Cricetulus griseus: one gene and its partners. The protein of the gene in region 1 interacts with the protein of each later gene in a pairwise test. Links are inferred from orthologs where the notes say so. Each region holds a gene or a part of one and is shown on either strand. Other genes may lie near its edges. The genes, in order: Ndn, Eid1, Ccdc136, Ssx2ip, Zbtb1, Lax1 and Apbb1ip.

Evidence for each region.
Region 2: the proteins of Ndn (region 1) and Eid1 interact in binary tests that used the Homo sapiens proteins (3 or more experiments, as listed by UniProt). The link is inferred for Cricetulus griseus from reciprocal best matches to the Homo sapiens genes NDN and EID1.
Region 3: the proteins of Ndn (region 1) and Ccdc136 interact in a two-hybrid assay, tested with the Homo sapiens proteins (2 studies listed by BioGRID). The link is inferred for Cricetulus griseus from reciprocal best matches to the Homo sapiens genes NDN and CCDC136.
Region 4: the proteins of Ndn (region 1) and Ssx2ip interact in a two-hybrid assay, tested with the Homo sapiens proteins (2 studies listed by BioGRID). The link is inferred for Cricetulus griseus from reciprocal best matches to the Homo sapiens genes NDN and SSX2IP.
Region 5: the proteins of Ndn (region 1) and Zbtb1 interact in a two-hybrid assay, tested with the Homo sapiens proteins (2 studies listed by BioGRID and IntAct). The link is inferred for Cricetulus griseus from reciprocal best matches to the Homo sapiens genes NDN and ZBTB1.
Region 6: the proteins of Ndn (region 1) and Lax1 interact in a two-hybrid assay, tested with the Homo sapiens proteins (2 studies listed by BioGRID and IntAct). The link is inferred for Cricetulus griseus from reciprocal best matches to the Homo sapiens genes NDN and LAX1.
Region 7: the proteins of Ndn (region 1) and Apbb1ip interact in a two-hybrid assay, tested with the Homo sapiens proteins (2 studies listed by BioGRID and IntAct). The link is inferred for Cricetulus griseus from reciprocal best matches to the Homo sapiens genes NDN and APBB1IP.

What each region holds. Positions count from the first base shown.
Region 1 is NC_048596.1:135,134,389-135,137,184, reverse strand, and holds Ndn (necdin), read left to right. Parts: upstream 1-1,318; coding exon 1,319-2,296; downstream 2,297-2,796. UniProt on the Homo sapiens protein: Growth suppressor that facilitates the entry of the cell into cell cycle arrest.
Region 2 is NC_048599.1:52,888,037-52,891,602, forward strand, and holds Eid1 (EP300-interacting inhibitor of differentiation 1), read right to left. Parts: upstream 2,327-3,566; 5' UTR 2,108-2,326; coding exon 1,634-2,107; 3' UTR 501-1,633; downstream 1-500. UniProt on the Homo sapiens protein: Interacts with RB1 and EP300 and acts as a repressor of MYOD1 transactivation. Inhibits EP300 and CBP histone acetyltransferase activity.
Region 3 is NW_023276806.1:198,421,405-198,425,627, forward strand, and holds the start of Ccdc136 (coiled-coil domain-containing protein 136), read right to left. Parts: upstream 2,801-4,223; 5' UTR 2,749-2,800; coding exon 2,691-2,748; intron 1,957-2,690; coding exon 1,849-1,956; intron 1-1,848. UniProt on the Homo sapiens protein: May play a role in acrosome formation in spermatogenesis and in fertilization.
Region 4 is NW_023276806.1:12,743,947-12,747,446, forward strand, and holds part of Ssx2ip (afadin- and alpha-actinin-binding protein), read right to left. Parts: intron 3,128-3,500; coding exon 3,017-3,127; intron 1,283-3,016; coding exon 1,147-1,282; intron 1-1,146. UniProt on the Homo sapiens protein: Belongs to an adhesion system, which plays a role in the organization of homotypic, interneuronal and heterotypic cell-cell adherens junctions (AJs).
Region 5 is NC_048598.1:127,104,443-127,107,942, forward strand, and holds part of Zbtb1 (zinc finger and BTB domain-containing protein 1), read right to left. Parts: intron 2,787-3,500; 5' UTR 2,771-2,786; coding exon 629-2,770; 3' UTR 1-628.
Region 6 is NC_048598.1:55,501,480-55,505,663, reverse strand, and holds the start of Lax1 (lymphocyte transmembrane adapter 1), read right to left. Parts: upstream 2,801-4,184; 5' UTR 2,253-2,800; intron 1,264-2,252; 5' UTR 1,115-1,263; coding exon 1,026-1,114; intron 1-1,025. UniProt on the Homo sapiens protein: Negatively regulates TCR (T-cell antigen receptor)-mediated signaling in T-cells and BCR (B-cell antigen receptor)-mediated signaling in B-cells.
Region 7 is NC_048596.1:211,346,542-211,350,041, forward strand, and holds part of Apbb1ip (amyloid beta A4 precursor protein-binding family B member 1-interacting protein), read right to left. Parts: coding exon 3,489-3,500; intron 1,894-3,488; coding exon 1,592-1,893; intron 450-1,591; coding exon 372-449; intron 1-371. UniProt on the Homo sapiens protein: Appears to function in the signal transduction from Ras activation to actin cytoskeletal remodeling. Suppresses insulin-induced promoter activities through AP1 and SRE. Mediates Rap1-induced adhesion.

The DNA of each region.
Region 1 (2,796 bases):
TGATGGAATTGTGTGAAGTGAAAAGGGCTATATATAGACAAAGCTTCCTGATCTCCAACATTTGTGGAAATGAGGGAGACATGACATCAAATAAGTAGAGAGTAGAAAATTGATTACCAAAGGCTGTGAAAGGAACATGGAGGATAAAGATTGCCTTCTGAAACAAGAACATAGTTAGGAACAATATTCTGTAGTGTACTATAACAAAGTGCAGTGGGTGTACTCAGCTATACATGTTTAAGGAGATAGAAAAAGGAATTTTAAATATCCCTAAAGGTTAAAGTGATATATGTGTTAATTATGCAAGTTTGCTTACTGCATATTGTGCTTGTGTATAAAGACAAACTCTTATTTGTGTCAATTATATGTGTATATTGTGTAAGTGTATGCAAATTTATGAGAAGGGTGTTGTGTATCCTGCTCTATTGTTCTCTACCCTATTCCTTTGAGACAGGATCTCTCACTGAACCTAAACTTGGGCTGGTTTCTGGCAAATGCCTGTAATTCTCCTAATTGTACCTCTCAGAGCAGGGTTTACAAACACAGACTATGCCATTACATTTTTTGTGAGTCTTAGGGATTTGAACTAGGGTTCTCACACTTGCACTACAAATGCTCTTACCCATGGACTGAGCCAATTCCCATCCCAATAAAAAAATGTTTAAACACACACCAATTATGCTATATAATTTTATTACTTCCAAAACATTCAAATTCCACTTGGGCTGATTTCCAGTGTCTGTAATGACACTTTATATTCTTCCGTATTGGATCTGGACTCAGGTTTGGTAAAGATTTGCTCTATTAATTTTTCAACATTCCAATCTTAAACATCACATTATCTTCACAATGCTCGCACTTCCAAAAAAAAAAAAAAAAATCAAAAACTCATTACTGTCTCACTCTTTTGTAGAAAGTCCAAGCTCTCTAGCCAGTCTACCCCCTTTCACACAAAAACTCAAAGGTGCTCTAACTTGACTTCACCATCTCAGCTGCATCTTTCTACTTAAACTTGCTCCTTCCCCATCACCATCTCTTTCTAGCTCACCCAGGAGACCTGGAGATCTTTCCCATTAGTTTAGTGGTACCCTCCCTCAGACCCCAGTGGTTGGGCTTTGCATCTCAGCTCCTATCCAGCCCTACCACCCTTCTGGCTTGCCAACACGCATGCGCAGTGTCAAGTCCGCCCCGCCCGGCCGCTGCTGCGGAAGGCACAGCTCTCAGTAAAGCGCACTTCCTCTGCTGGTGTCCACTGAGGGAGTGCTGGTTCCAAGAGCTCCAAGTCGCAGCGGTCCTGCTCTGATCAGAAGGCGCAGACATGTCGGAACAAAGTAAGGACTTGAGCGACCCTAACTTTGCACCTGATGCCGCCAACTCCGAGGTGCAGGAGAGCTCTGAGATTCCGGTGGGGGTCCCTCCTCCCACATCTCCAGCCGCGATCGTCGCAGAGGCACCAGAAGCTCCTGAAGGCCCTATGGCAGCCCGGCAGGCCTCGCCGCCGCCTCCAGAAAGGTTAGAAGATATTGACCCTAAGATTCTGGAGCAGGCCATAGAGGAGGGCCGCGCCCACAATCCCGATAGCCCGGTCCGTCAGCTGCCAACACCACCCGCCCCGGCCCAGGTGGTGCAGAAGGCGCACGAGCTCATGTGGTACGTGTTGGTCAAGGACCAGAAGAGGATGGTCCTCTGGTTCCCAGACATGGTGAAAGATGTCATGGGCAGCTACAAGAAATGGTGCAGAAGCATCCTCCGGCGCACCAGCCTCATCCTTGCCAGAGTTTTTGGGCTGCACCTGAGGCTGACCAATATCCACACGATGGAGTTCGCCCTGGTCAAAGCCCTCAGCCCAGCAGAACTGGACAGAGTGGCGCTGAACAACCGTATGCCCATGACAGGCCTCCTGCTCATGATCCTGAGCCTCATCTACGTGAAGGGCCGCGGGGCCAGAGAGGGAGCCGTCTGGAATGTGCTGCACATCCTGGGACTGAGGCCCTGGAAGAAGCACTCCACCTTCGGAGACGTGAGGAAGATTATCACCGAGGAGTTCGTCCAGCAGAATTACCTGAAGTACCAGCTTGTTCCCCACAGCGATCCTCCTGAGTACGAGTTCTTCTGGGGGTCCAGAGCCAACCGTGAAATCACCAAGATGCAGATTATGGAGTTCCTGGCCAGGGTCTTTAAGAAAGATCCCCAGGCTTGGCCCTCCCGCTACCGAGAGGCTCTGGAGCAGGCCAGAGCTCTGCGGGAGGCTAATCTTGCTGCCCACTGCCCCCGCAGCAGTGTCTCTGGTGATTAGGAAGGTCCCCAGCATGTTGATAATTTCTGACCCATACTTGGGCTGTATAAGGGTGGGGTTGGGTCATTAGAGTATTCCACATTCACAGTGCAGTATTTCATGTGTAACCTTTAAGTTTTCCTTACAGTGCTTTTGTACCTTTCAATGCAATATATTCATTTGTGTTCGCTTGGAGCGTGTTAAGGATTTATGCATGTGCGTTTACAAGTAAGCAAGTGGATGCTTTCACTTCTGTGCTTTTTTGTACAAGAGATGTGCTGTGCTGAACCTGTGAAATCCATTGAGATGTTGTGTATCTATTCTTTGTATGAAAGTGATGATCTGTATCAACATAAAAGCCCAGGAGAGTTAGGAGGTGAGCAAAGCAGGCCTGACCAGAGAAAGGTCAAGGGCCCTCTTATATGAACTCAACTGGCACAGGAAGCATCCCTGTGGAATGGACTGATTTGAACTGGAATGTTCTCAGTGTAGGCACTTAGCACACCCTACCAAACATGTAT
Region 2 (3,566 bases), on another chromosome or scaffold:
AACTCTGGTCATGAGGCTTGGGTGTATGTCAGAAGTTGCCTTTACCCACCGAGCCATCCCACCTGCCCAGCCTCCCAAACAAGATGAATATAAAACAAATAAACCACCACCACCACCACCCCACCCCCAGCCAAAAAAATCCCGAGGAGTTATCCTACTGTCCTATATTCCCATCATGGCATAGGAACAGTCAGACTTTTTAATTCATCATAAAAGATGTGCTAATGAGTAATTTTTCTTGGCATGGCCTTTGATGCAATTACCACTCAAGGAACTTCAGCATCTTCACCAAATAACACACAGCAACATATATGCAGGGCAGGTTTCCGTAGGCTGGCCAATTCTTTCATTCTATTGGTCAGGTAATTAATTGAAAATGGTTTCATTTTACCATTGTAAGCACTGGCTGTTTAAATCTTAAGATGAATGCAGTGATACCACATAATAAAAGAATCTTGCTTAAATAAAGTATCTATGCAGAGCTATTAGACAAAACAAAATACACAGAACAGGAAAATTTATTATCGCCAATGCTGGTGCATAGGGACTAACAAGCATGATCAGAAGGAGGGACGGGGAGAGAGGAGGAGAGGGAGAGAGAGAGAGAGAGAGAGAGAGAGAGAGAGGAGAGAGAGAGAGAGAGAGAGAGAGAATATGAGTATCAGGTATCCAGGTGGACTTCTGAGCAGATTTAAAACCTCCAAAGTTTGACAGCATAATAGCTCATATAATCTTTTATAGGTACAGGTAGGGTTTCCTTTTACTTGACAATTTTTCACAAACAGTTCTTACAATATGAAGTTCAGCTATAGTCTTACCATCTGTCAAGGTAAAAAACAGTGAGTAAAAGTTCCCTAGTATAAAAGGGTATTTATTAGAAAGTTTGTCTTTGGGCTTTCCCATAAATTTTAATGCATGAACTTAAAACTTTAAAAAGATATCCTGATTGGCTTTTTTTTAATATGTAACTTTAAAAATCATCACAAGGGATTTTTCCAAATTACAGATCACAGTAGCTTTATAAATCATGAAGATACATGTGCAGTCAAATCCCAGCTTTTGTAACACATTTTAAGATAATAGTACACATGGTAACACACATCTACACTTATACACACATATTCACTTTGATTTTTCTTTGGGGGGGTCGATGAATACTCAATCTTAAATCTCAAATTTAGCTTTTGATAACTGATTTATATAAACCACAAAACAGAATTTGGAAAGTTTTCTCAACAGGCTCTCAGTTCGAATCAAAGATATCTTGTGGATGTATTCTTCTTCATTCTCTAATTAGATTCTTGTATTGGCAGTCACGATTTTTCTCTTGCAAAACCATTTTTACAAGCTTAACACGACCAAGTTCTTCTCCAACGCAGGGAAAAATCATCTCGTTCAACAGTCTGAACCAGAGCTTTTTTTTTTTTTTTGCTGAGCCCCTCCTTCCTCGATTCTCCTTTTCCAAGACTGCACGGTCACTCACTGTTTTGTCTTCTATTCCGGGAAACAAAAACCTTTTTTTTTTTTTTTTTTTTTTTTTTGTTTTTTGCACAAAACTAGTTGGAATGAACCCAAAAACAGCAGAATGTTGAATCTCTCCCTCTCAGGTAGTTTCCTCCTCTTTCGTCAGCATTTACTCTCGATCAATGATCTCATCACAACCGAGCTCTTCGGTCAGTCGATTGACAACCATCAGCGAAAACAGCTCTTCGATAAAGGCGAGCTGGTCGAAAGGGCTCTTCTCGCAGCGCGCCTGAAACCCGCCATCCAGGGCATCTCCGGCTCGCGCCGTTCTCAGGAACACCTTGTTGGCTTCCTCCAGCGCGGCAGACACCCTGTGCATCGCGCCGCTCCAGCGCTCCTCTTCTGGGAAGTCGTAGTCGTCCTCCCAGTCATCAAACTCGTCGCCCTCCAGATCTGCGCCAGCCTCGGGGAACAGGCCGCGCTGGGCGCGGGCGGCTAACGGCGCGGCCTCCTCCTCCATGGGGCCCTCCTCCGCGGGCCCGCGGGCCCCGCGGCCTACCTCCATATCGCCCTCGCCGGGCAGCTCGTCCATCAGCTCGTTGCTTTCTTCGTACAGCTCGCAAAGCTCAGCCATCTCCGCCATGGTGGAAGCCTCTTAAGTCAGCCAGGCGAAACGCTTCCACCGACACGGACGCGCGAACGGGTGTGGTGCGCGGGCGCGTGCGCGCGCGGACGAGTGGGTCGGCGTGGCGCGCGTGCGGGAGTGCGTGCCTGCGTGCGTGCGTGCGCAGACGAGTGGGCATGCGTGGTGCACTTGCGGGGGGCACGGGACACGCGCGCAGGCGAGTAGGCGGGCTGGGTGCGCGTGCCAGCCTGGCGCGAGGTGGGCGTGGTGCGCGTGCGTGAGCTCTAGACCGCTCTAGCCCCCCCCCTTCCACCACCACCTCCCCCTCCTCCAGCTGGGCCGGACTCCCAGAAGCTTCTGCTGGGTCTGGACCTTCCATCTGCAGACCCCGCTCTAGGTTCCTTGATGTTTGCTTGCTCTGTCACACTTGTCACGTCCCTGCACCGGAAAACACCGGGCTTCTGGGACAGACTGCCGCCTCTCCCCCACCTCCCTGCCTCCCCAACATCCCTTGGCAGTCATCCACCTCCTGCCTCCCCAGCATCCCATCAGTCATCCACCTCCTGCCTCCTCAGCATCCCATCAGTCATCCACCTCCTGCCTCCCCAGCATCCCTTGTCAGTCATCCACCTCCTGCCTTCCCAGCATCCCTTGTCAGTCATCCACCTCCTGCCTCCCCAGCATCCCTTGGGACCAGGACGTCCACTACTGCTCATCATTTCAAATCCACCTCGCCTGCCGGCTTGCGCGGCACGAAAATTCAGCTTTCCATTTTTTTTTCTTCCTGAATATACTGACGTTGACCTAATCGTGGACAAATTGTGTGTGTGTGTGTGTGTGTGTGTGTGTGTGTGTGTGTGTGTGTACGTACACCATGGAGAAAATGGAAGCCACAGTGTTCTTTTCTAGGCTCATAGGATATGCATATTTTAAATAAACATGGGTAATCAGGCTCACAATTGCTCTACAAACTTAACCTGCAGTGTTTGAGAATATTCACACCCTTGGCTCCTGTTGTTTTATTGAATTAATAAAATTAATTTCAGTTTTATCAGCTTGTTCTCTTTTATGTGTATGGGTGTTTTGCCTCTGTGTAACGCCCATGCACCTTGTGTGTGCATCACCTGCAGAGGCCAGAAGAGGATGTTCATCTCCTGGAAATGAGGTCACAGTTTTGCACTGCCCTGTAAGTGCTAGGACCCAAACTCTCTCCTTAGTGTGAGCAGCTGATGCTGTTTACTGCTGAGCCAGCTCTCCAGCCCTAAGATTGTATCTTTATAACCTTTCCATAACTTTAATTTATTAGAGGACAATGATCTTTCAGTAGGTATAGGGGGCATTTGCTTTCTTTCAACACATTAACAGGCCTTACTTTATGTTTGTTTTGCTGATTTGTAGGAATCCTTTGAAAATGTGTGAAGACACTATTTTTCACTTTACAAATTTATCCTTCAAGCCTGTATGCTTTAAGGAGTCA
Region 3 (4,223 bases), on another chromosome or scaffold:
ACAAGCAAAAAACCCACATCCAGGTGGCCTTTTAATAATAGGAAAGTACTGGCTTGGCCTGTAGTGGAGAAGGAAAACATTGGAAGGGAATGGCTCTGAGCTGTTTACTGGGTAAATGTGGGAACCCTTTCAAAAGCAAGCTATCAAATAACTTTGAAAATTTCTTTTTTTTTTTTTAAAGATTTTATTTATTATGTATACAACATTTCAGCTTCCATGTATATCTGCACACCAGAAGAGGGCACCAGATCTCATAACGGATGGTTGTGAGCCACCATGTGGTTGCTGGGAATTGAACTCAGGACCTCTGGAAGAGCAGTCCACGCTCTTAACCTCTGAGCCATCTCTCCAGCCCCGACTTTGAAAATTTCTACACTAACTTTTATTCCTGTTGGGTGCCACCTCTTTCCTGCTGACCCAAGTTGGTTTTCAGGGTAAGTCTGAAACTGAACTCATGCATAAAAGAAAGCCTGCCATCCAAACACATTTTTTTAAAAAATATTTATTTATTTTATGCATCTGGGTGTTTTCCCTGCTTGTATGTCTGTCTATAGTGTGCATGCAGTAGCCTTGGGGGTCAGTTATAGGAGTTATAGGATGGTTGTGAGCTCCCATGTGGGTGCTGGGAATCAAACACAAGATAACTGCTAAGCCATCCCTCCAGTACTGTTGACATATCTTAAAAACTGAATTGGAGGGGCTGGAGAGATGGCTCAGCAGTTAAGAGCACTGACTGCTCTTTCAGAGGACTTGGGTTCAATTCCCAGCACCCACAGGCGGCTCACAACTGTCTGTAACTCCAGTTCTAGGGGACCTGATACCCTCACACAGACATGCATGCAGGCAAAACACCAATGCACATAAAGTAAAAGTAAAATTATTAAAAAAAAAACCAAACACTGAATTGAGCCAGGTGTGATCCTAACACTTGGAAGGCAGAAGCAGGCAGGTCTCTGTGAGTTCAAGCCCAGCCTGGTCTACAGAGCCAGTCCCAGGACAGCCAGGGCTGTTATACATAGAAACCCTGTCTTAGAAAACAAATACCAAAAACAAAACAAAACAAAAAAAACCAAAAATCTTGAATTGGTACTGGTCCCATTTTTGGATTGGTGAGCACTTCTTTTACTGCAATGCAGTTCCCGTAAATAGCAATCTTGTCTTGGTGGAGACTGCTTTGTTTTTAAATTCTGAATCTCTGGTTTTCTTTTTCTAATACCAATAGCATATGGTTCATCTGAGACCCCTTATGCTATCGAGTCTCTAGGGGAGGCCTGTACTGAACTGTAAAAGGGCCTGGGGTCACTTCACAAGAAGTCCTGGTTGATCCTCCCTGCCCTGTCCTGTGGTGTGGTGGTGGGAAGTTGACTTCGATCTCTCCTAAGCCTCTCTTACTAAAGCTGCAAGGCTCCATTCAAAGTTGACAGTGGAGGCATCAGAAAGACAGTTCACACGCCCGCCCATGTCCTGGCTTTTAAAAATAAGAGACAGCTTGGGATCCAGGTCAGCAGGCAGTGAGAACAAGCGCCCCGCTGAAAGGCTGCTTCCAGGCTCCTTTCAGCAGGACCTCTGTCTGTCTGGCAGCTCCCCCAGGACACACAACCTGGTTAGCTGGGTGACTGGAGCCCAAAGGGATGTGCCCAAACTTCCATCAATGCCTGAGCCCAGGACAGGCTTGGAGCTCTGCCACCAGGGAGGAGGGGCCTGAGATGAAGTGAGGGAAGGGCCGTATCCTGGCTCCTCAGAGCTCTGGGGTCAGGGAAGGAAGTAGGATGGAAGGGAACTGGGGAGTAGGGTGATGGAAGATGGAAAAGCTTTTTTTTTTTTTTTTTTTTTCGACAGAAAACTCACCCTCCATAGCTTGCATCCCACGGCGTTCCAGGGACCCCCAGCGTTGGCCTTTCTTCCTCTCACAACCCTCAGATAACTCATAAGAGCCTAAAGTGGTTACTGTGGGTCCTGTGAGCAGGAGAAAGTAGGCACTGTAGGATTGGAAAGAGGCTGGGGGCTGAGGGGAAAGAAAGGGACGCGGATTCTTGTCTGGGAGCCCCGAAATTTGTAATCCCACTGGAGGAGCCTGACTCACGCTGTCCAGCTGTGTGATTCTACTCCCTTCGCCACCTCCCATGCTCTGCCTAAGGAGAGGACCCCAGCGCGGCGCTGCCCAGCCTCAGCACCCCTGATCCAGGATGTCGCCGGCTCCTCTCCCCGCCCAGACAGAAAGAGGGTGAGTGTGTAGCTTGGGGCACAAGGAGAAGAGGGGTAGGATGGGAACTAAGAAAGAAGGTTTTTGGAGGATGCGGGTGGCTCAAGGCAGGGAAGGGAGGGGCGGCCGGACCTGGAGGGAAGGGGCTCCAACCCAGGCCTCTCCTCTCCCCTCCCCTCCCTCACCAAACCTCGCCCAGCCCACCCTCACCCCCTGGTCAAGAGCTTTTATGAACTGGAAGGGTGCAGGCTCGAGACCCCCCCCCCCGCTGCTTCCACCGCCCCTGGCGAGCTGGAAGCACGGTCGGGCTGGAGAGACGAGGTGGGGAGCACTCGAGGAGTGACCGCTAGGGAGGGGACACCCCCAGGTCGAAAGATGGAGGCCGGGGTGGAGGAAGTCGACTCAGTACCCCGGGCACCCGGGGGTCAGGAGGAAGGAGAGCAGAGGGGGAAGGAGCATGGGGAGCTGAGGGAGGGGCGGCTCTGACCTGGGCCGGGGCAGCTCCAGCCCGCGCTCCCGCGCCGGCCCGCGCCGCCTGCCTCCATGGCCGCTCCTGCCGCCGCCGCCGCCACCGCCGCCGCCGCAGCCTCCGAGCAGAAGCCGCAGCCGCGGGGCCGGGGACCGGGAGCCCGGTGCGGTGCGCAGGGAGGAGAGAGGGCGGGGCGAGGGGGCGGGGCCTGGCCTGGCCACCTGACGCGGGTGCCAGCCTGCCGCCGCCCGGAAACCCTCTCTGTCCCCGCGGCTCCGGACCGCATAGGGACCAGCCCTGGAGGCTCCTTGCGCGTTAACAAAGTGCCCAAGCCTCACCGGAGGCAGCTCCGGGTCTGCTGCGCCTCCTGCACGGCGGACGTGAGCTACCGGGTCCTAAGGATGCTCCCAAGGAGTGACAAGATGGGTGGCTTCTGGCGACAGAACCCACCCTAGGTCAGTCGCTCCTAAGGACCTCTCTGCTCTGGGTCTCTGGGCCTGGTCCTACCTGGTGATTGAGGCACAAACAAACAAACAAACAAACAAAAAACCAAGAATGGACTGTTTCCTGCAAATGCGCAGACACGCGCGCACTTCTTGGTCTCCATGGCCGCAGTTCACCGAGCCCATCCATCTCCTCCTGGCGGCCTCACGTGCCACAGAGCTGCTGCAGGGCTGCAGAGTAGGGAACTTGAGACTTGGATGTGCCAACTGCAAGGCAGGCATCATTGCCTTTTCCGAATTCCCACCAAGCCAGAGCCAAGGACTGACTTAGAAGGAGCCCTCCGTAGCCCAACCCTGCTGCCCTCGGTGCACCAAGACCTGTCCTCTCCATGTCCTTTGAGTCACGCCCCCATGTCCTGTGGGCACCGCTGATGTCCCCTCTAACAGAAGGTGTGGGAAACCACAGGGCTTATTTCACTTTTTCAACTATCCACTCAAGAGACGATCTTGATCTTGAGACAGATCTGACTTCTCAGCAGGTCTCATTCAGGTCAGAAGTGGGTACACAGGAACTGGCTCCCCAAGTCAAAATTGTGGGTCGATTCCTTTTTTTTTTTTTTTTTTGAATTAGAAACAAGATGGTTTTACATGTCAACCCCAGTTCCCTCTCCTTGCCCTCCTCCACTACAAGCCCCCCCCCCAACTAAAACCCTACCTATCACATATCCTTTCTGCTCCCCCTGGAGGGTGAGGCCTTCCATGGGGGGGGTCATCAGAGTCTATTGTGTCCTTTGGGATAGGGACTAGGCCCGCCCCCGTGTGTCTGGGCTCAGGGAGTATCCCTCTATGTGGAATGGGCTCTGTGAGGGCGATTTCTAAGCTGGGTACACACACTAGTTCTTTCTCTTGTAGTCTCATTCTTAAAGTTTGGACATGGATTGGCTGTGTTCACCTTCTCAGGATGCCATGTTCCACAGGAACGAAGTACTTCTTTGCCTACCTATCCCTACTTATCAGTCATTTCAGCCCTACCTTGAGAGTCTCTGGACACCCTAGCCCTTCCTTGTTAGATACTCTGCTGTGCTCTTCTGACTTTGCTGTTAAGATT
Region 4 (3,500 bases), on another chromosome or scaffold:
ATGTACTCACAGAGGGAACACTGTATCTGTACATGACATTACTTAAGGATACAGGGATGTACTCACAGAGGGAACACAGTATCTGTATATGGTATTACTTAAGGATACAGGGAATGTACTCACAGAGGGAACACAGTATCTGTACATGACATCACTTAAGGATACAGGGATGTACTCACAGAGGGAACACAGCATCCAGCACACACAGCTTTCCCAGAACTTAGCCACAGCTGCCTATCTACATGCTGTTAGGGGACTTCCCTGCAATGGCAGAGGAAGCATGCTGAACTTCCTCATTGTTCGGGCATTACAGAGAAGGCCCTGCCTGACTTGCTAACCCCATCAGTGTTGTCAACCTCACAGGAATGAAAATTTGACAGCACTAATGTCCATCTGCCCCAGATACAGACAGACTCACTTTCATAACAAAAAAGTTATTCTGATTTTGAACTAGTAAATGAAATCTATCTCTTCTGATTGGGCTGGGAAAAGAAACAGCTACCCACCCCAGGCTGCTGCTGCTGCCATTTACAAAGCCAACTCTAAAATCACCCTTCTTTGACATTCAGAAACCACTGTGATGCTTTCGGGTTCCAGTTCTTTATGGGAGTCAGTGTCCTCTGGCTTACTTTTCAACTCCAAACCCATCATGTTAGGCAAATACACGTGCACTGGTGTGAATGAGAATGGCCCCCGGGGCTCATACGTTTGAGTACTTGGTTCCCAGGCGATGAAACTGTTTGGCAAAGGTTAGGAGGTGTGGCCTTGCTGGAGAGGTATGTCACTAGAGCTGGGCTTTGGCTCTTTCTGCCTCATCGTTTGTCTCAGGATGTGATCTCTCAGCGACGCTCTAGCACCATGTTCCTTGCCATAATAGTCATTGACTACTATCTGAAATTGGAAGCCCAATAAACTCTCCTAGAAGTTGTCTCGGTCACTTTGTCTTATAGCAAAAGTAATAAGACAAACTAAATGACCCAGGCTTTTATTTTTTTTCTCTCCACAAACCGGTTGTCTCAGTTTCCAGTTTATAGGGAAATACCTAAATTCTAAAGGCAACCTTGCAATGTATGAAAGTACGTCACCCCTTCGCGCTTATGGGCACATCCCTGCAGGCACGAGGCTCACTCTTGGTAAGCGTCATACCTATTTTTTTATCCTTCTTGTTCATAACAAGCTGGTGCAGCCGCTCCTTTAGTTTATTGTATTCACGCTCTTTTCTCTTCATATCATGATTATACTGAGTAGCCCGACTGGCTATAATGTTTTGTAATTTTTGTACCTGAAAGACAAAACACTTTCTATCAAACAAGTGGTGATGCATCCACTAAAATCATAAATTCAAAAGGTAAAACCAGTCCTAACTGGTCCTAGCTCATATTCCCTCATAATGAGTTTCACTTCTTACCAGTGAACGACAACAATACACAGCGGCACGCAGCTGCCAGCAAGCTGTCTTCTCTCTGAGCAGCCACCGCTGGGAAGCTAGGTCAGGTGCTATTCTTCTGAGTTGGCCGGCCAGCACATGCTAGGCTAGCGCCTACTGCTGAGCCACACCCCCAGACTGCTTTTTACCTGGAGGCTGTCCAAGCTGGACTTGATTCTCAATTCCTGCCCACCTCCCTTGCGGCTGGGTTACAGACCTGTGCTACCAGGCTCAGCTAGGGCAGCTCCTGACAGGAAGTGTACTTTGTTCTTTAGAGCCATCTCAATCCTAGCCATAGAGTGGTGTTTTAGCTTACTCCAGACCAAAGACAAACTTCAAACTAAATGTAATCAACACATCATATCACAATTTTCTATGTAGTAACCTTGGTTAGATAGTCATTATTCACTTTTTTTGTTTTGTTTTGTTTTGTTTTTTTGAGACAGGGTTTCTCTGTATTGCTTTGGAGGTTGTCCTGGAACTCGATCTGAAGAACAGGCTGGCCTTGAACTCAGAGATCTGCCTGCCTCTGCCTCCCGAGGGCTGGGACTAAAGGCGTGTGACATCACCAATGCCCTGCTTCATTATTCACTATTAAATACTAATTAAATGGCATAAAAAGAAATCATAGGCTTTTAAGAAATAGATTATCGGGGTTGGAGAGATGGTTCAGTGGTTAAGAAACTTGCTGCTCTTGCAAAGGACCTGGCTTGTGTACCCATAAAGTGGCTCACAAACACCTGTAACTCCAGTTCCATGGGGACCCAATCTTCTGGCCTCCAAAGGCACCAGCCACATACACAGTACACAGACATGGAGGTAAAACAGACATACACACATTAAAAAAAAAAGAAAATAGAAATAAATTCCCTTCCAAGCCTCTGAGTTAAAGAACAAAACACTGAAAATAATATTTTTTTAGCTACTATATGGATAGGGGTCAGTGTCATGTCATCACAGTGCTGTCAGGATTCAGCTAAAAATAAGGTCTAGGTACCTACCAAGCACATATTAGAGTTGGAGTATTTTGAGTTAGAAGTGAAATTTTTAATATGAATCACCACAGCTTTGTGCATCCTAGGCACTAAGTGTTCCACACTGTGGCCATTTAATCAGGTTAATTCTTTGCTAGATAAAAAAGGGTAATGTTTAAGATCACACACGAGAGGAGAAAGGGGACAGTTCAGTGCAGGGCACTTGCCTAGCATGTGCATGGCCCTGGTTAGGCGAGAGCCACTGAGAGGCCTTCCCTGTAGAGGGAGGCCTTGCTGGAGAGGGGTTGATGCAAGGGGGGAGGTGTGGAGCGCTGCCTCTGTACAGTACCGAGGAGACAACGACGCGTGCTCTCAGTTCTCCTGTGCCTGAGAGAAATGAGAGAGGACCGAAGGGCAGCACAGGGGCCCTGCCTGCCGCCAGCCATGGGCTCATGTCCTCCTGGAGCAGGGCAGAGGACGGGCACAGCGTGGCCACCCACCATGCTAGTGTGACGCAGAATAGACAGTTCTTTTTAAAAGGTGAAGTGGCCATTATGTCACACCTCAAATTCTAAAAACCAATAGTTCACCTCATGCAAGGTAACAGAAAACCCACCTCATCTTTTTCATTCTTCAGAAGCTGATGCAAATTCCTGTTTTTGCACTGTAACTGCCTGTCTCTCTCCTGAAGCCCAATCATCTCTCGTCTTGAGGTTTCCAGTTGTTCCTGGAACATAAAATATGCCACTTGTCCTCAGGAGTGACAAGAACCACACATTAACCTGGGAACTACAGTCCAACTTCTGAGCCACACTCAAGCTTACTTAAAGCAATTACTACCAAGTTCAATATATAAAATCACATGCCTTATTTAAATTCATTTTTATTCTACTTATATACAAGAACTACAACATGGTCTTAAAAGGCTCTTCCTCTGTGCTGCTATCCCTGAAGCTCCCAGAATTCTCTGTAAGGCTTTCACACGCTAGGAGCACACTCATCTACAGCAGGCTTCATACTCTGGGGATGCTTGCCTTTAGGGAACAACAAATGCCACTGAGTGTGAAGAGACTAGGAATACTATCCTTCACACTGCACAA
Region 5 (3,500 bases), on another chromosome or scaffold:
AGGCCAAGATTGAGCCCATGTCCACCTTGAAGGTTAGATTCAGTGCACCTCACTTGCCTAAGTTTGTCAATTTAAGAATATGGATTTCATTGATAAGGGAGAATGAACAGTAGCCATCCACTATACAACTGACAAACAAGCCAAAAAGCCAAAAAAAACCCCAAAAAAGCAAAAGCAAAAAAGAAGCAAAAAATGAATGACAGTTTTAAATAATTATTTAAAAACTCTTAAAAAATTTAAGCAGGAATGGTCAGTAATCTTGGGTTTAAAATTTCATAGGATAACCTTAAAATGAAAGTACATAGAAATAGTGAAATCATTACCTTATTGATTAAAAAAAAACTAGTTTAATAGTCATTGAAGGGATAACAGCCACTTACAGTCTACATTGAAAAGTAATTTTAATGGTAGTTAAGAAAACTATGAACAAAGAATGCTCTTGGAAACATCAAAAATGATAAACATTTAATGCCTAAAATATACTTAAGGTCCTAAACAAAAATGTTAAAGTAAAAGGGCCTTGAAATCTTTCCCCAACACTTCTTATGAAATCAGTGTCTAAATAGCTCATATCCTTTTGCTTTGGTGTTCTGCCTATCAACTAAACATTCGTGCAGTAGAAAGCCCCTCAGGTTCTTTTCAAATGCTTGGCATTATAGTGTGATCTCATATCTTTCCTCAAATTAAACTTTGCTCCACATATTCCACAAGTATACAGATGAACATCCATATGCTGCTCCAACTGTTCATTATTTGGGAATATCTGAAAGCAGACCTGGCATATAGTCTCACCAGCAGATAAATGAGAGATCATATGCCGTACATGGTCATGTTTTCGGAAGTTGCCTTGATCACAAATGGAACAGACATACCTGGCCATGCCTTTGTGCATATCATTGTGCAGACGCAACTGCCGCTCTCTTAAAAACTGCTTTCCACATGTCTGACAAACAAACTGCTTTTCCTTAGTATGAACAGTATAGTGTTCTCTCAAATGACACCGCTGATAAAATCCTTTTCCACACAGGTTACAAAAATGTTTTCGTCTGTGATCTCTTTCATTTTCTTCCATGATGGCACTCTTAAACATATCCTGGTCTAGGCAGCTAGACATATGTTCAACCACTAAATTTTCAGTTTCAAAACGCTGACCACAATTGGGACACCGAAAAGGACAGGCAGAATGTTTAAATAACTGCTTTTTCTGTATACTGTTTATTTGGTAATGACTGTCCCTGAAATCATCCAGCATTTCAACAAACATGTCTCTTATCTCAGACTGCTCATCAGGGTTCTCTTCCATGTCCATTTTCTCTTCAGCATTTCCTAGCCCGTTCATCGTCAGATCCTGAGGTTCTCCACATCTCTGAGCATGTTCCTGAAGCTGTCTGCCCTTGACAAGTATTTGTCCACATTTACCACATGCGCAGATATTTTCGATGTGTTTGGCTAAGTAATGAGATGACAGGTCCTCCTCAGTTATTGTGAGTCCACACAGCTCACAAGATGCATTGTCGGTGTCCTCCTGGATTGGACTGCTATTGTTAGGAGGTCTCATGCTTTCCAAACCACTTCTTTCATCCACACTTACAGACATCCGAGGCTTTAGGGTTTTCCTACCACTCTTTTTAATGCCGACATCTTCCTCAACATAGTATCTATAAAATGGCTCTTCAGGTTCATCTTCTAATTCATCATTGTCAGTGGACTCGTTGCAGTCTTTATCAGTAACTTTAATAATGTTGAAGTCTTTCATCTCATCTGTAGGAATATCTTCTGGTTCCATCTTGATAATAATTCTTTTTGTCTCAGCAGCTCTACTTTTTTCTTCACCAGCCATTCCAGACTCTACCGTGCTTTTTCTGCTTGCAGTGGTCGAAGCTGAACCATCAGGCGCCTGGCTGGCGTCTTCTCTGTATTTGTCTGTCTGTGCAGAAAATGTTTTGGAAGAATCCTTTTCACCGAGCTCAGCTTTGATGTTGCTATCTTTTCCATCTCTAATATCTACTATCCGGTGGTAAGCTCTTGCTGTGTTTTGGTAGGAATGTCTGTTAGTGCAGGTCAGCACATGTTCATCTAGTAATTTTTCACAGCTGAAGCCAAATCCACAACTATCACAGGTAAAGCTCCGTCCAAAGCGACGTGACACACGTTCTTTTGGAGTAGATAGTTTGGACACAGAACTTTTTTTACACACATCGAACAGCGGCTCAGGAAAAGTAGCTAACTGTAAAGACTCTTCATCAGGCTCTCTATTGTGCGGGGTATTCACCGTTGAACTGGGCTCTGCACACCACCGGTTGGCTTCGTTGCCGTTTCTAGCCACTGTGTCTTCATACATTCTTACCCCAAAAATCATCTTGCTGTTCTGTTTGCTGGAAGCAGAAGAAGAACATTTTGAACTAGAACAGTCCGCGTCCTGTATATCTTCTAAGCAGTCGGGAACATTGTAGAGCTGTAGGTAGTTCATTGCCACTTTGAACTGCTCGAAACTGGAAGGAGCAGTCATAATCTTCCCTAAATACATGAACTGCAAAATGAGATCAAAACACTCAGCGCTTATTTTCATGTTGCTGAGATTCAGTTGTGCAGTACTATGCTGATGGTTCATGAAAAACATTCTAAAATAGGAGCTACAGGCAGCTAAGACTGCTTTGTGTGCTTGGAAGTAAATGTCGTCAATAGCAATACAGCAGTCACAGAGAAAACCCCATTCTCTTTGGTTGTTTAGCTGCTGAAGGACGTAGCTGCTGTGACTGGGCTTTGCCATCTTCTATTAATTAGACCTATGCAAAACAAAAATATGACAGTCAGATATCAGAGGCACTTTTAAAGAAGGACACTTTTAGCATGATTTTTGACTTGCATAATTTTGCTATTCAATCATAGTTTTCTATGCCAATGAAGCAAAATCAGAAATATGCTTAAATCATTTTTTAAATCTGAAGATGAAAATATCTAGCCATTTATTTGGTTTTCTCATATTAAACAAAAGGCACCAAAACCAAAAACCTTAATATTTTTAAAGTTAAAAACAAGGCAGAGGCAGGCAGATCTTTATGAATTCCAGACCAGCCTGGAATTCTATGCCAGCCAAGGCTACATAGTGAGACCTTGTATACAAACAAACAAACAAAAAAGGAAGCATGAGTACCCCCAGAAACCATGTCTTTAAAAAGCTGGGCATGGGGTACCCCTCTGCACCCATGAGACTTGCTGGTGGGCCAGCCTGCTACCTTACCTGTGAAGTTCCAAGCCAATGAGAAACCCTGTCTCAAAGACGAGGTAAATAGCACTGAGGAACAAGGCCTCTACACACATACGAATATGTATGCCTCTGTACACAAATGAACATATACACAAAACTGTCTTTATCCTAGAGGGAAAACTCATACTAAATTTGAAAAGGGACAGACATTAAGATACCAAAGTAAATAAAGCAGCAACTTAAACTAAAAGTAAATAACTTGAGTGTAGAGCATTAAAAAAAGCCTTTTGAA
Region 6 (4,184 bases), on another chromosome or scaffold:
CAACTTAGCCATCTACAATGTGTACATATTTCAAAACAACATGCTTAAATACAGTATAAAAATACAAATTTTACTTTGTAGTTACAAAGTTAAAAAGAAAAAGGAAATAACAACAAAACAAAAATCGATTTAAAAAAGCAATAGTTTTAAGAGTTAGTGAGCTGACTCAGTGGGTAAAGGTATCCACTGTCAAACCTGCCACTCTGAGTTTGATCCCTGAGGCCCACATGGTGAAAGACCCAATCCCTGCACCCTGACCTCTCCACCCTTCTACTCCCCCACAACAAAAATTTAAAAAAAAAAAAAGAAAAAAAAAGGAAATAGCTTTGGGAGGTTGCTTCAGGCTTCAACAATGATACGAACTCATGTCTTTTTAGCAGGCATCTTTTACCTGCAAGGGACATGCAGGATTTTCTCTGGTAATACTAATAAATTTTCCTAAAACTACAATAATTGAAAAGGTTTCACGCCCACTAGCATTTCTGAAGTCTCACCACCCAATAGACTTTTGTTTATCTGAGATTGAGAACTTCAGGGGTGAATTTACATCCATGATTAGTCTGTAAGATCTGATGTCTTATGACTTTTTTTTTTTCAAGACAAGGTTTTTCTGTAGCTTTGGAACTTGTCCTGGAATTTGCTCTGTAGACCAGGCTGGCCTCGAACTCACACCTACCTCTGCCTCTCAAGTGCTTGCATTAAAGAAGTGTGCCACCACTGCCCAGCAGCTTTATGACTGCTATCTCTACATTTACAACTCATGACAAGGTTTTAGGATCTAAAATCTCATTGCTGGGGAACTAGGGCTCTTGTTTTTATCATAGTGGGACAAGAGATTAGAAAGATTGAAGTCAAGGCCTCTGAGAGGAAGGAAATCCAATCAGAAATTCAGCTGTCAGTCCTCCACCTCCATCTCCTTCCTTCCCTCCCAGCTCACAGTTTGCTGGTCCTGGTGGCCCAGGCCTGGATTGTAGGTGTGGCAGCACTACCAGGGACAGTGGCATTTACTTCCCCAGAGCACTCACCCTTCCAGGCTGCCAAGAGTCCCCTGCGAAGTGCTGGGCCCTGAGTTCCTCCTTCTTGTGACATCTGGTGGGGCTGGTGTGGTGTACATCCCTGGAACCTCTCAGGGGCTCTGCAGCATTTAAGTCTTCTCCGTGTCAATATTGACTAGCCAGTATTGTTGCCCTTTTCTTGACTCTTTCTAAGTTGCTGATTCGTAGGAAAAAAAGGCAAATTGGTATGTATTTTGCATACAACCACCTTTGTTTAAAAAAAAGGGAAAAAAGCAGATAATATAAGAATGACAGAAAATTCTCCAAATCTCCATATTTTCCCAAATGTATCTCTCTTTACTCTTGAAATTTCTTTTTCTTTCAATTTTTTTAAGTCTTTATTTTATATGCATTGGCACTTTGACTATGGGTGACAGATCACCTGGAACTGGAATTACAGTCAGTTGTGAGGTGCCATGTGAGTGCTGGGAATTGAACCTGGATCCTCTGGAAAAGCAGTCAATGATCTTAACCACTGAGCCATCTCTCCAACTGCTACTCTTGAAATTTCTTATTCATTTACTTAGATGGGGATGCATGTATCTCAAACTAACCTGGGGCTTGCTATATAGCTGTTCATGCAGGGTTTCATACCTCTCAGGGTAGCCTAGAACTCTTTATGTAGCCAAGATATATAGCTGAAGACGACTTTGAATTTCTGATCCTGCTGCCTCTGCTTCCTTAGTACTGGGACTTACAGGCATATGCTACACTCTGTATGAGCACTAGGGTTGGGACTCTGGGACTGTGCACACCGTAGGCAAGCAGTCTACTGTCAGAACACCCCCTGCCAGCCATCCTTCCTAGATTGTACTCACCAAAGGTCTCATATACAAAAAAAGGTTTTGGTTTTTTTTTTAATCTTTCTGAAGATTCTAATCTTCTGTTCTAGAACTTTCTCCAACTGACTCCCTTTTTTGGGCTGGTGTGATGGCTCTTCAGGTAGAGGTGGTGCTTACTGCCAGCCTGATGACCCAAATTTGCCCCCATCACCACTTTCATGGTGGAAGGAGAGAATCAGTTCCCATAAATTGTTCTCTGATCTCTCTCTCTCTCTCTCTCTCTCTCTCTCTCTCCCTCTCTCTCAAACACACACACACACACACACACACACACACACACACACACACACACACTATAAATAAATGTACTACTATACTAACAACAACAATAATAATAAAACCCAAACCTCCCTACCTTCACCTGAAATTCCAGGCTGAGTTGGTACAAGGTTCCAAAGCATCGAGTTTGGTACACTGGGGGTGACCACAATGCCCACTGGAGAAAGCCAGCTGTCTCTCATCCAGGTGTTGATGTTCCCAGTGTGAAGTGGCTGGGCTGGCTCTCTGGTTTCTGCCTGTTGGTGGAAACGTGAGGTACACAGGGGAAAAAAAATGCCCAGAGGTCCAGCAGATCTGTGAGAAACTCTTTCTTCCACCCCCCCAGAGCAGAGTGAAAATGCAAACTGCTCTGGCAGAATGGAAAGAGTCACTGACAGGAAGCACCTTCACCAGTGTGCTAATGAGGCACGGGGCACAGGAAATGCTCAGTTCTCCACAGGCAGCAGGAAACCCATCTTCAGCCCTGCTGTTCCCCACGGGCACTCTGGCATCTGGGGCACACGTGGTTAAAGAGGGTTAGGGAATCAGAGACAGGATTGATCGCTCTGGTTTTCAAAGTGTTATAAGCCTCCAGGTCAAAATTCGGGGGTTTAAAATACTTTGTTGTTTAGTTTTACTTATTTATTCTTAGTACACTTATTTAGTGTGTCTGCACACATACCATGGCACATGTGTGGAGGTCAGAGGACACTTGGGGGAGTCCTTCTCGCCTACCACGTGGGGCTCAGGAAATCAAACTCAGGTCTTCAGAGTTACAGGCAAGTGCCTGGATCAAATGAACCATCTTGCTGACTGTTTTTGTTTGGTTTTGAAGCAGATCTCACTTCATAGCCCAAGCTGGCTAAACCCATGGTACCCTCTTGTCTTAATGTCCCTGGTGGTGGGGTTCCAGGTGTAGGCTAGGCTCAGGGTTCAGAATGGTTCTTTTCTTTTTCTTCTCCTTTTTTTTTTTTTTTTTGATACAGGATTTTTCTGTGTAGTCTTGGCTGTCCTGGAACTCAGTAGACCAGATTGGCCTTGAACTCAGAGATTCATCGGACTCTATCTCCTGAGTGCTGGAATTAAAGGTGTGTGCTACTACTACCTGGCTTTTGTTGTTGTTGTTGTCCCTTCCTTTCCTTTCCCTTCCCTTCCGTTCCCTTTCCTTCCCTTCCCCTTCTTCCCCTCGTCTTCCCTTCCTCCATCCTTTCCTCCCATCCATCCATCCTTTCTTCTCTTCTATCTTTCTTTTTCTTTGAGACCATTCCCTGACCATTCTGTATTTCACTTATGTAGACCAGGTTGGCCTCAAACTCACAGAGATCCTCTAGCCTCTGCCTCCTAAGTGCTGGGATTAAAAAAGTGTACCACCATGCCTGGTTCTTAGCAGGTCTAAATAGCACTAGAAGTAGTTGTTTAGAGAGAAGTGCGGATCTGGCACCTGCTTGTGGTTCCGTGGGTGGACAGGCCTTATAAATAGATTCTCAGTAGGTGATAGTACCAGAAGCAGTGTTTCACACTTTGTGTACCTCTGTTCCGGTGTCATGGTGGGAATGGAACTGAGCCTGGGTTGCAGGACCTCTGGAGGCTGTTTCTTTGTTGGGACTCGGGGCTGCTGGCAAGGGGGCATCTGTTGCTGGCTTGCCTCTTCTGTAGTTCAATATCAATCCTGGGTAGCCTCTGATTTCAGGTGCCAGTGGTTCCTCCGTAGCGCTGACCTGAAGGTTCCAATCTTAGGAGAATGCTCTGAGTTTGTTTCTAACTCCCCTTCCTTTTTGCTCCACGTATGTTCAGAAGAGTGAATAGAGCATGCAGAGAGCCTCTCAACTGCACTTTCCAAACCAGTTGGGGCGGCAGGAAGATGAAAGGGATGACCATCAGTGCCTTTGTCACCAGGCCTCTCCCTGACCTCTTTCCAGTGGACATTGGAGTCCTTGGCTTCCAGAGCCCAGACAAGCTCTGCCTGTTCTGGCTCTCCCAGGGCTCTAGGATGCTGCAGACTAGTCCTGTAGTCTTCATGAAACCCCAC
Region 7 (3,500 bases), about 76 Mb from region 1:
TCATTCTTGCTCCATCTCACCAAGGGGAGCTCTTTGCCATCATACTACCCAATAGAAAGCCTTTACAAGAAACGGTTGGATGCAGGTTCCCTACCCAGAAATCATAAACTAGCTAAATGATATTATACAGAGAAAAATTATGCCATTTCACTGCGTCCAGAGAATTCTTTAAAGATGATAATTATTGGAAAGTGCCACTTTTAGTTTCCTTTCAATGATACTGTTAAAACCAGGGTCTTGAGTATGGTAAGCAGGGACCTGCTACTGAGCTCCCCAGAGACAGGTGAGGATTTTATTTTACTGTTTATCAGTAACTATAACATGATATCATTAATTTAATGCCCCCTATGCAAAAGTGATTGATGGTTTACCTTCTTGACCTTGGCTTCCTTCAGTTTTTCCAGTGCTAATTTAATTTTATTAGCCTTTGCTTGGGCTTCTTCTTCTTCCTGTAAAGAAGAAGACAGTCAGTAAGGTCTAATAAATAATATCAGTGGGAAATTCTTGTTAGTGTTAGTGTCTAGTTAATTTATAGTAACAAAATCATCAAATTTTACATCCCCCGTTTCCAGAATATAAACAAATTCTTGTGATTAAATATTTAACTAAAAGGTACAGAAAGAAACTATTGTTTATAGCCCTGGGAATTTCATCCTAGAAGATGAAATGATGACCTCAACAAGTGCATCATACACTTATTAGAGTATGCTATTCTGTGATCAGCTCACAAAACAGGGGACTGGGTTAGTTTGAATGATCAATATCCCCATAAACTCATGTACTTGAACTCTGGGTCCCTAGATGGTGGTGCTGTGTGGAGAAATGGAACTATTAGGATGTGGAACCTTGCTGGAGGAAATATATCTGTGTGGCTGGGCTTTGAGAGTTTACCGCCTCACCCCACTTCTAGTTTGCTCTTTGCTTCTACCCTGCGAATAGAAATATGATCAGTTAGCTTCCTGCTCTGGCGGCCTGCTGCTCTCTCTCCCCTGATAGGACGAACTGTTCCTTACATTAAGGTAAACGCTTCCACTCTTAAGTTGTTTTGGTTTATCACAGCAACAGAAAAGGAACTGATACAGGGACCAACCTACAGAATCCAGTAATGTATTCAGCCTAAGGGAGTTGAGCACTTCATAAAGTCATACACATCCTCTTGGATCATGGTGTCTATTTAGGGGAACATTCATAGTTTTTATTAGAAACTTGAAAAAGTCCTTAACATCCAATTTCTTAATACAAAAGTCAAAACTTAACTTTGTGATTTGTAAATTTGTGATTTGTAAATCACAAATCCTCCAAAGCAAAGCAAAACAAACAAACGAACAAAACACCCCACTGATAACACACATGAACAATAATAGCAAAGAGTGTGAAATAGTCTTATAAGCTCAACTTCCTTTGATAACTTACAATCCTGAGAATAGAACTGTTAGGGCTTATTTATTTATTCATTCATGTATTTATTTATTATGATTAGGAAATGAAGTGTTCTGGTTACAGAACACTTTGAAAGTAGAATCATCTTTTCTAACACCAATGGTTCTTGAAATGTTTTTGAGTGCAGGGAAAGACTCGTTACAATGCTTACTTTAGAGAGAGGTTCAGGAGGTGGTGGAGGTGGTGGAGGTGGTGGAAGGTCTAACATGGGTTCTGCTGGTGGAGGTGGTAAAGCATCTTCATAGTGGCCAACACCAGCTGCAGCAGCACTTGCTCCATAACCAAGTGACGCTGCAACCCAGCCATCTGATGCCTCCTGAAGCGCTGAGTGGTGCTGATTCTGAGAGGACTCTTTCTGAGCCTGGATGGTTCTCTGCTCAGCTTCACTTATATCTGCTACCAAATCTGCCATGAGGGTGTCTAAATCTTGGTCTTCCAGGGCATTTAAGGACTCTAAGAGGAAGAAAAGAAAAGAAAAGAAAGCTTAACTATTTGCATCTGGATAACACAGAAAGCAGTTGTTTTTCTTTTAAGAGCAACATATGCATAAGTGGGAATCATTATTTAACTTGTTATGATACAATAAGAAAGATGGAGAATATTCTTATCCAGTAGCACACCCCCACATATTGGGACTCCTGAAATAATTACATTCAGTGCTTAATGTCAGTAAGTTTCTAACGGGAAGAAGAGGGAAAACTTGTGCTCTCCAGGGGTGTGTCTCACACTCTAGGCACAAAGTCAGGTTGGAGCACACGAGCAGATGCCTACACAGGGAACTCCTGAGTATTTTGGTGCAAAGGCCTCAGTCTTTGGAACAGTAGAGGAGGAAGAAAGTGGAAATGGATGGAAGGGGGTTCTCCCTAAGAATTTTTAAGGGAGAGCACTGGTGATCAGCTGGGTTTCATCTGACTTTAGGGAGAACATCTAAATGTCTGTCCCATCCGTCTGACTTCAGGGAACCTTACCATCGTAAGTGCAAGATTAATGCAGCCAAGGTGTTAAAGAGTAAAACCAGTAAGATTAAGTAGTAAAGGTTTTTATGAAAACAGTGGGCTGGGTGAGCTTTTATAAGAAAAAATGAACAAGGCTTACAGGGACATGGGGAAGGAAGAGAGTTCATTAGGACTTTGTCCAAATGTGAGACTACTGTAGAGGCCACATGCATGCTCAGCAAGTTGACTAGATTGCATGGAACAGAGGGAGTGGTGTCGGGGACAGCATCAGCAGAGTGCACTGGGAATCAGGCAGTCACTGCATGATGGTTCAGTGAAGAAGGAGTGGACCCTGTGCAGGATGGCCCAAAATGAGGAAATGGGAGTGTCAGAAAACAAACCTATTTAGTAAAAAAAATCAGAAAGCACTGTGAGCTGGCTCATTGCCAGACATCATCAGTGCCATGTAGCTCTGTTGTTCATTAATATATCAATATGCCAAAGAATTAAAATTTCTTTATATAGCTTAGATATGTTACTACAGATAAATTATATTAATCAATACAACATTAGATAAAATAGAGAATGAGAAGTGGATTCCATTCTTAAGTCTGTCGTTCTCTGAATGACTTTGATATATATGTATGCTTTTTGAGACAGGGTTTCTCTGTGTACTTTTGGAGGTGTCCTGGCACTTGCTCTGTAGCCCAGGCTGACCTCGAACTCACAGAGATCTGGCTGCCTCTGCCTCCCAGGTGTTGAGATTAAAGGTGTGTGCCACCAATGCCTAGCTAAGAATTTTTGTAATAAAAAAATTAAAAGATAATGGGCTCCTTAGTAATAAGAAGAAACTTTGCTTTCCTTTTCAAAAGGTGAGGTTGTCCTGAGACTTTTCATAAATGGAAGATGGTCTTCCCTTTCATTGTTATAGACAAAAATATCTAATGGACTTTCTTAATTCAGTGTAGACATAGTAAAATACTGCCCACAGTCTGGGGCTTACACATTATTTACCACAATGCTCACATTTCCTTAGTTTCATGGTCAGAGTATAGTTCCATGGAGACTTCGGTCATCATTAGGGTTTCAAATTGCTTAAGAAAACATGCTTACCATGTAAATCCT